Linked DNA regions of Rhinolophus ferrumequinum. The protein of the gene in region 2 binds, or shares a complex with, the protein of the main gene of each other region. Links are inferred from orthologs where the notes say so. Each region holds a gene or a part of one and is shown on either strand. Other genes may lie near its edges. The genes, in order: CHP2 and SLC9A1.

Region 1 (3,902 bases), on a different chromosome or scaffold from region 2:
AGCCACTGCGCACCATATTCTGATCACTTGCCACCGTATCCACCAATACCTCCCCCATTGCCACTCCATCCGACCCCCATCTGTCCCTCATGATCCCACACTCACCTCGGCAATATGCCCAGGCTCCTGACTGGACCCCAGCCTTGGAACCCAGCCCCCATCCTTCCTCCACCCCGTCTGCCACCTCCTCGTCCAACCCCTCCCCCACCCGCACCCCCACTTCAGCCCAATGAGCCCAGAGGGTCTCAGTCTCAGCCCCATTGACATTTGAGGCCACAGAAGGCCCTGCTGTGGGGGGCGGGGGGCGTTCTGTGCCCTGTGGGGTGTTTAGCCACATTCCTGACCTCCACCCACTAGGTGCCAGTTGCACGGCTACCTACCGTCCTGCCAGTTGTGACAACCAAACATGTCTCCAGACATTGCCCGTGTCATTCAGGGGGCAAAAATCGCCCCCAGCTGAGAACTACTATACAAATCTATTCCTAACCTCAAATGCAGCTGTTCCTGGCCCTGCCTCCCAACTAACCACACTCCAACTCCATGCACCCCCTTTGCTCACCCAACACCCCAACCATCTGCACCCCCATGCCAGTCATGCCCCCCTCCCCCACACGGCTGCATGCAGCCACCCCGCCCTGCAGGTGACACGGGTGTCCCAACCTGTAGCATCTCCTGCTGGGAGATCTTCCCATCTCGGTCCTGGTCGTAGAGCTGAAATGCAACTGGGGAGAGAGCAGCGTGGAATGAGGTGGGCCCTCCCTGGGTCTCTTCCCGCAGAAGGTCACCCTGTAGGAGGAGGGAGGCTCCGTGGGCTGACAGGGGGAGTGGGAGGTGCCCGGGGCCTCTCACTGGTGTGGGAAATCGGGGGTCTTGCTTGGGGGGACCCCACCAACTCACAGCGGAGTTTGTTCATTCTGCTGTTGAGGGGTTCCGGTTCCTTGGGGTCCCGGGTTCTGGTATCCTCTTCATTTATAGGTCGGAAATGAGCCAGGACTCGGACAAAGCCTGGGAAATCCACCTGCAGGCTCCTGGGGTGGGGGGGGGAACGTGGAATGGAGCAGAGGCAGTGCCACCTTGGCCCTCTCTGTGCCCCTGTCCCTGACAGCATTTCCCTCTGTCTCCCCGCCCCAGAGACGCCTCACCCATCCGGGAAGAAGCTGTCTATAATGCGGTCCCCCAGGGGGTTCACGGCCAGCGCCCCGATCTGCTGCAGGTCAGCACGGCTGCAAAGGAAGTTCAAAGTGGGTAGGACGCGGACGAAAGAGCGAGGGTCAACGCGGGGAATGCGCCCAGACAGACAGACGGGCCCAGACAGACAGACGGACGGACAGATACAGGACCGGGATAACAGGTCAGCTCCCGCACCTCAGGTAGCCCTTCTTGTTCCTGTCCAGAGACCGAAACCGGTGGTAGAGGCGGAGCAGACTGGCCTGCGAGACTGCGGGAGGGAAGGCAGACGGGTGACTGACGCCCGGGCCATCCGGGAGGTGGCGGGGGTCGCGGGCGCTCCACGGGGGACCTGGCTGCCAACTGGAGGTTAGAGGGGGCGTGACGAGACCCAGGGGCGCGATACCCCGGGAGACCAGGGGACCAAAGCCAACCCCCTCCATCCCGGCTCGAGGACACCTGGGTGCCCCCAACCCCGAGAACCCAGGCCCGCCTCAAACCTGGACGCCGGGGGCCCAGGGTACCGCGCCCCTGCCCCCCCACCCCGCGGTCTCCGCTCAGATCGTCTGGACTCCCGCAGCCCTCCACCCGCCTCTCCTCGGGACCCCACTGGAGCCCCCATCCCCAGGGCCCCCCACCCCCGCTCACAGCCGGTCTCCCGACGAATGTCATCCGCGTCCGGGATCCGCGCGACTGCTGAGCTGTGGGAGCCCATGGCAGCGCTGCAGCCTGACACGAGAGATCTGTGTTCCCGCCCAGGCTCGGCCGCCCTGTGGCCCCCGGGGCCGAAGGCCACAGGCCTGGCGGGGAGCCAGACGCCTGAACCCCAGCGTTCCTCGCCTCCCACCCGTGACCCGGGCGAATAGAAAGCAACGCCCAGGGTGGCGGGGCCAGAGGGCTGCACCAACAACGGGCTGTTTCACCCGGACTTGCCGAGGTTGGCGCGGAGAGAGGCTGAGCGAGGCCAGGTCCCGCCCCGCCGCGCCCGCCCCGCCCGCAGCGCCTTCCGCGGTCCGCGTTCCCACGCTCGGCTGCGGGCGCCCCCCCCCCCCCAACCCTCCAGCCTGGGGCTCTCCCAGTGGCCGCGAGGAAGGCTGGTGGTCCTGACCTTCTCGTCTGCACACAGAATTCAGGTCCTTCTAGAAAGGGGTGTCGGGTGGGGAGGGGAGCTGCCCGCATTCCTCCCAGTCGGGAATGGCCCCAGCCTGGACCACCTCCCCCGGCAGGAGGGAGGCGCTTTGATGGACGCCCAAAGCGGGGTGACCTGGGGAGTGTCGTGAGGCACAGAGTGGCCACTGTGTTCCATGGAGACATGGATGCCACCCAGCTATGCGACCTACTCCGGACAAGCCAGGGTATCTCGGTTTCATCTGTTTGGTTTGGTCCATATTGCGTTATTGTTGTTTAATGGACTCAATGCTCACAAATCAAGAGATGGAACCAAAAACCCGGATTCCCGGCTCCTCCAGAGAAATGAAAAGTCCGACACCACTAGGCCCGCGCGGCTGTAGGAGAGCAGCTGCCATAGTTAAGGGGGGGCGACAGTGGGCTGCCAGTGCCAGAGCCCCCACCCAGCCCAATTCACGCCGTAGGAGCCCCAGGGCCTCTGCCACGAGCCCTCCCGGCTGGAAATGACTTCGGCCTCGGAGGGCAGTGGAAAGCCACCGCCTGAGAGAGGGTCACGAACAGCACTGTGGCCAAGCTTAAAATAATAGTAATGACAACAAGAGGGCACTTTGCTGAGCGCGAGCTAAGCCTTAGCTCACACGCCCATCACAGCACCTGCGAGGGCACCTTCTTCCTGCTTCTCTGTGGGCGGGGCCTGCCAAGGCCGCCAGGTGTGAACCAGGTAAAGCCTGTATCCTCAGTGGGGACAGCAGCGCCCCCAAGGGGGCTAAAAATCTTACTCTTTTTATGTATAAAGTACAGATATACCTGTGGTACAGGAACAGATACATCAGTGGTCTTAAAATTTCATAGGAGAGGGGACCTTGGGGGGAGGGGGAAGGCCTGAAAATGCTCAGGTGGGGACCATAATGAAAAAACGTTTGAGAAACTCTGTTGTAAAGGAACAAGCACCCAAGTGTCCAGGTGTGACTCTATCATCCCCCCTCTTCCCATCATAATCACACACAATACACACATTTCCCAGGGGGAGAAAAATAAACGCCGTTCATTATTAGGGTTCAAGTTCATACCCGCCCTGGAGGGAGCGAGAAGCCAGAGAACCAGTGGAGGCCCCACGCCCAGGCAGAGGCTTGCATCAGATAAGCCTTGAAAATACTGATCTAAGAAGCGCTTGCTTCTCTTTCAGAGGCCCAAGGATTAAACAGCTGGCACAGGAATGCTCGCCTCCCTTTCAGAGCCGTTCGGACGCCGCCCCCGCGCCCCAAGGAGGACAGCCCGCCGAGCCGAACACAGCCGCGCACCATGGCAGGCTGTGCGTGCAGGCAGGGTTAGCTTCTGAACCTACGAGGAGAGACGGGTCCCTGGGACGTGGCAATAATCACCTCAGGCCCGCGCGGGATACTGATCTTGGAACGAGCTTCTCCCCCAGCTGTGATCTCTGAGTCAGCGGTACTTTCCACAAACCAGGCCAGAGTGTAATTAGCTACTGCCATCCACACGCCATCACAAGCCTGCAGGAGAACGCTGAGCTGGACCCCACTCCTGCTTCACGCACACAGGCGGAGTTTAAATCAACTCCACGGTGTCCACGACTACCTCTTCCCAGG
Region 2 (3,902 bases):
AAATAAGAATATTAAAGTTCTAACCCCCAGTACCTATGAATGTGGCCTTCTTTGGAAATGGAAATAGTGTTATGGAAATAGTATTATTGAAGATGATCAATTTAAGATGAGGTCATTAGGGTGGACCCCTAATCGGTGGACCCCTAATCCAGGGGAATTTTGGACCCAGAGACAGAGGCACAGGGAGATCACCATGTGAAGATTGGAGTTATGCTGCCAACAGTTAAGAAACACCAAAGATTGTCCGCAAACCACCAGAAGCTAGGAGAGAAGCATGGAGCAGATAGATGTTCCCTCACAGCCCTCAGAAAACCTTGATTTTAGACCTCTAGCCTCCAGAATATGAGACAATAAATTTCTGTTTTTTTTAAGCCACCCAGTTTGTGGTACTTTGCTACAGCAGCCCTGGCAAACTAGTTTACATATTAGCTAAGCAACTCTCTCCACTCATTTCCTCATCTGCAAAACTGGAACTATAATAATAGTTCTATGTGCTGGGCTCCGTTCTAAACACTTAACACAGATTATCTCATTGAGTCATTTCAGTATCCCTCTGATACAGGTACTGCTACCATTTCCATTTTATAGATGAGAAAGCTGTGGAACAGGGAGTAACTTGCTCAAGGTCACAGGGTAACTAAATACATAAAATACTAATACATCCTTCGCAAGACTATTGGGAAGCCTTCATGAGACTGCGGGTGTGGATGTGATAGCGCTTTGTAAATAGTAAAGCGTTTTACCCGTGTTAGAATCTCTGTGGATTCAGGACTTTTTTTCCGCCCCCATCTCTGTCCTTTCTCTTGCTACAGGCTACTTCCTTCCCTCGGCGGCAAGGGGTCGCTGCGCTGCGTGGGCGCCGACGTTCCTTCTAGCCCGCTGCGCTGGCTGCTCGTTGGTACCTATAAATGGCAGCGACCGGCTCAGCCAGGCATCAGTCCACCGCCGCCGGCGCTGAGCCCGGCGTTGGGAGTAGGACTGGGAGTAGACGCGGAGAACCTGAAGCTGGGCCGGGGCCGCAAGGAGGGGCGTGCAGCCGCTGGCCCACCGCGAGCCGCTCCCAGCCCTCGCCGAAGCGTTCTCCGCTAGGCCGCCTGCCTCCGCCTTCCTCCTCCCTCCATTTCCCCGGAATCTCAGCCAGGTGCGCCTGCACCCCGACGCTTCTCTGGGTGGGGAAGCTCCCGACCGCTTTCCGGCTGCACTCCTTCCTCGCAGCTTGGGCTCCCAGACCCCTCTCTTCTTTGCCTGGACTGGGTCCCACCGCCTTCTGTCCCCTTCCTTGAGCTCCGGCTTCCTGCCCCTGCCCGTAGTCTATTCCCCTCTCTCTCCTTAGTCACTTTGCTCAGCCGAGGGTCCCAGCCTCCCCTCTTCCTTTTCCTTGCCTGGGGTCCAACTTGTCCTGTCCCTTCCTCTCTCTCCTTTCCCTGGCCGGGAGTTCCAGACCTTTAGGTCTCCTGTGGTCCTTCCTGGGTCCTTCTGCCTCTTCCCCAGTTTGGAGTTCTAGATTGAGAACCCAGATTCTGTCCACCCCCAGAGGACTGCTTCCGCAAAACGACCTCTCTAAAACATGAACTTTTCCTAGAGACTACTCCAGGCTCTCTTCCCACCTGCTGACCCCTTGCTGCCTATGTCCCAGGTCTGACTCTCACTTTGCTAAGAGTCCAGGCCTCCTCGGCCAAGGGAGCGGCAGGATGCTTCTGTGGTCTGGCATCTGTGGCCTCTCTCCACCTCGAATCTTCCCTTCGTTGCTGGTGATGGTAGCCTTGGTGGGGCTGCTACCTGTTCTCAGGAGCCATGGCCTCCAGCTCAGTCCTACTGCCAGCACCATCCGAGGCTCAGAGCCACCACGGGAACGCTCAATTGGGGATGTCACCACCGCCCCACCGGAGACCACCCCCCAGAGCCACCCTGTTAACCATTCGGGCACTGAACACAGCACACAACGAAAGGCCTTTCCAGTCCTGGACATCGACTACTCACATGTGCGCAGACCCTTCGAGATCTCCCTCTGGATCCTGCTTGCCTGCCTCATGAAGATAGGTAAGTCCAGTTTGCTTCACTGCTTCTGTTGCCACCAGCCTGGTGAGCTTCTTGCCCCATCCTTACCACTTGAGGCTGCCCAGGAGTTAGGGTCTGGACTCCTATAATGTAGGCAACCTCCATTCTGCCATCTTGGTCCTTCTCAGACTTGAGCTCTGTGGTTTGAGGCCTCCCAAGGTTGAAGCCAGCATCATGCATGGGAAAGAGGGGGATTGGAGCATGGGATGCTTCTGATACTGGGTCCTTTCAGCAAGGCTTCCAGGCTTGGCAGGTCTCCTCTGGTTGGGCCAGACCCCGAGGGGAGCCAGGCTCCCAGCTGCGTGGAAGGCAGAGAGGAGTGTCTTCCAGCAAGTGGCACATTCTGCTCCGTCAACAGCAACCAGTGCAATTACACGCTTCATGGGAGGGTGTTCCAGGATGGAGTATATTTCTACTTGGCCTGTTTAAGGAGTTTTAGTATCGCAGGGTACCTGCGTGCTGGAGACCTAGCAGTGTGCTGGAACACAAGGGATCCCTACCTTTTTACCTTACTTTATCCGTGGAATATTATCTGTCAGCTTTGCCTGCCCAGGCTGGTCAGGAGCCCCTGAGTCAGTTTCCGGCCCAGGAATGCCATTCCTTATGCAGTTTATGGGACAGGGGGCCCTGGAAATTTCTGAAGTCCGTTTTGGGGGTGGAGGAGGTTGAAGCTTGGTCTGGCCCCAGCTCACCTCCAGGTTAGCAGCCACCCGGCTGTGTCTCAAGGTACTGCCTGGGTTGGCCAGTAGTGTTGGCCTGCTGCTCGACCAAGTGGAAGAGGGACAGGTGGAGGGGCTCGGGATGCTCTGGTCTGAAGAGACTTTGAAACGATCTTTTTGGGAGAAGGAGACAGAAAAGTTGTTCCCTTCTGAAAAGTTGTCTCCCTGCTCGGCCTGAGCACTTTGTTCTGCTGGGTGATTGATTTATCTCTCGGGGACCTGCATCACTCACAAGTCCCTGGAAGTGTGTCCGGGGTGGGGGGGTGCTTTGAAAGCTGCCTTTGCTTTTTTAGCCCCAGCTAATCTGTAGAAGGCAAGGGACTCTGCTGGTCTGGGTTTGGGGCGTTTGTGACTCTTGGCAGAAAGCCTTGCAGCTTACCCGAGGACCTGAAGGAGCTGATTGGTGATGCCAGGCTGGTAGGAGGCAGGCTCTGGGACATGCTGCAGGAAGGCACCCTGTTTTGACAGAGCCAGAATCTGGCTTCCTGGTGCGGTGCTTGGCTGCTGTGACAGTAGCAGGGCCTATAGATGGACCTGGGCCACTGGCATCTGTACCCTGATGGCAGCCAGCTTCCTGGCATCAAGGACTGGGCAAGGGGAGCCATTTGTACCGATTCTGACAAATACATGACCTTGAACGAGCTGGGGCCTTTTTCTGCAGGTCTCGTCCACCTGTGAAACTGGCAAGAATGTCTACCTTTGACCATATCAATTGAGTCATTAAACCTGTGTCTTAATTTGTGGTAAGAAACTGAAGTGACCATGATGTGTCATTTGCTTGTGTGAGACCAGGAAGAGACCTCACACGCATCGTCTCTGAATCACTCTCCTCCCAACCACACCTGGCATTGTGTTAGAGCGCTGGGGGCCAGTACACGCACTGCAGGTCTCAGTGATTCCTGGGGGGGCAATAGCATGACCACAAAAATCCTACTTTGGGCAATCAGGAGTTTGTCCCTGCAGGCCTGATGTCTCCAGTTCTAATGGGATTAGGCTTTGTCCCTCCCAGAACCTGTAATAGGGACCCTGGGCAGCTGGAGAACAGAGATGGTGCCATGGTGAGGGTATCAGTCCAGAAGTGAGGAAACTTGGCTTCTCATCCCATCTCTGTCTGTGACCTTGGGC

What was found.
Region 1: the proteins of SLC9A1 (region 2) and CHP2 are in contact, whole or in part, in a crystal structure (PDB 2BEC), measured with the Homo sapiens proteins. The link is inferred for Rhinolophus ferrumequinum from reciprocal best matches to the Homo sapiens genes SLC9A1 and CHP2. Residues at the interface, in NP_003038.2 of Homo sapiens: Ser517, Ile518, Asn519, Glu520, Ile522, His523, Thr524, Gln525, Phe526, Leu527, Asp528, His529, Leu530, Leu531, Thr532, Gly533, Ile534, Glu535, Asp536, Ile537, Cys538, Gly539, His540; in NP_071380.1 of Homo sapiens: Arg30, Arg34, Leu38, Leu51, Ile54, Ala56, Leu57, Asn60, Pro61, Leu62, Ile66, Phe70, Phe83, Leu87, Phe90, Tyr118, Ala119, Leu122, Tyr123, Met136, Val139, Leu140, Met143, Ile156, Arg159, Thr160, Glu163, Ala164, Phe177, Ser180.

The regions. Positions count from the first base shown.
Region 1 is NW_022680357.1:17,601,246-17,605,147, reverse strand, and holds the start of CHP2 (calcineurin B homologous protein 2), read right to left. Parts: upstream 2,122-3,902; 5' UTR 1,883-2,121; coding exon 1,816-1,882; intron 1,439-1,815; coding exon 1,366-1,438; intron 1,224-1,365; coding exon 1,143-1,223; intron 1,029-1,142; coding exon 898-1,028; intron 723-897; coding exon 661-722; intron 1-660. UniProt on the Homo sapiens protein: Functions as an integral cofactor in cell pH regulation by controlling plasma membrane-type Na(+)/H(+) exchange activity.
Region 2 is NC_046292.1:18,599,590-18,603,491, reverse strand, and holds the start of SLC9A1 (sodium/hydrogen exchanger 1), read left to right. Parts: upstream 1-885; 5' UTR 886-1,691; coding exon 1,692-2,040; intron 2,041-3,902. UniProt on the Homo sapiens protein: Electroneutral Na(+) /H(+) antiporter that extrudes Na(+) in exchange for external protons driven by the inward sodium ion chemical gradient, protecting cells from acidification that occurs from metabolism.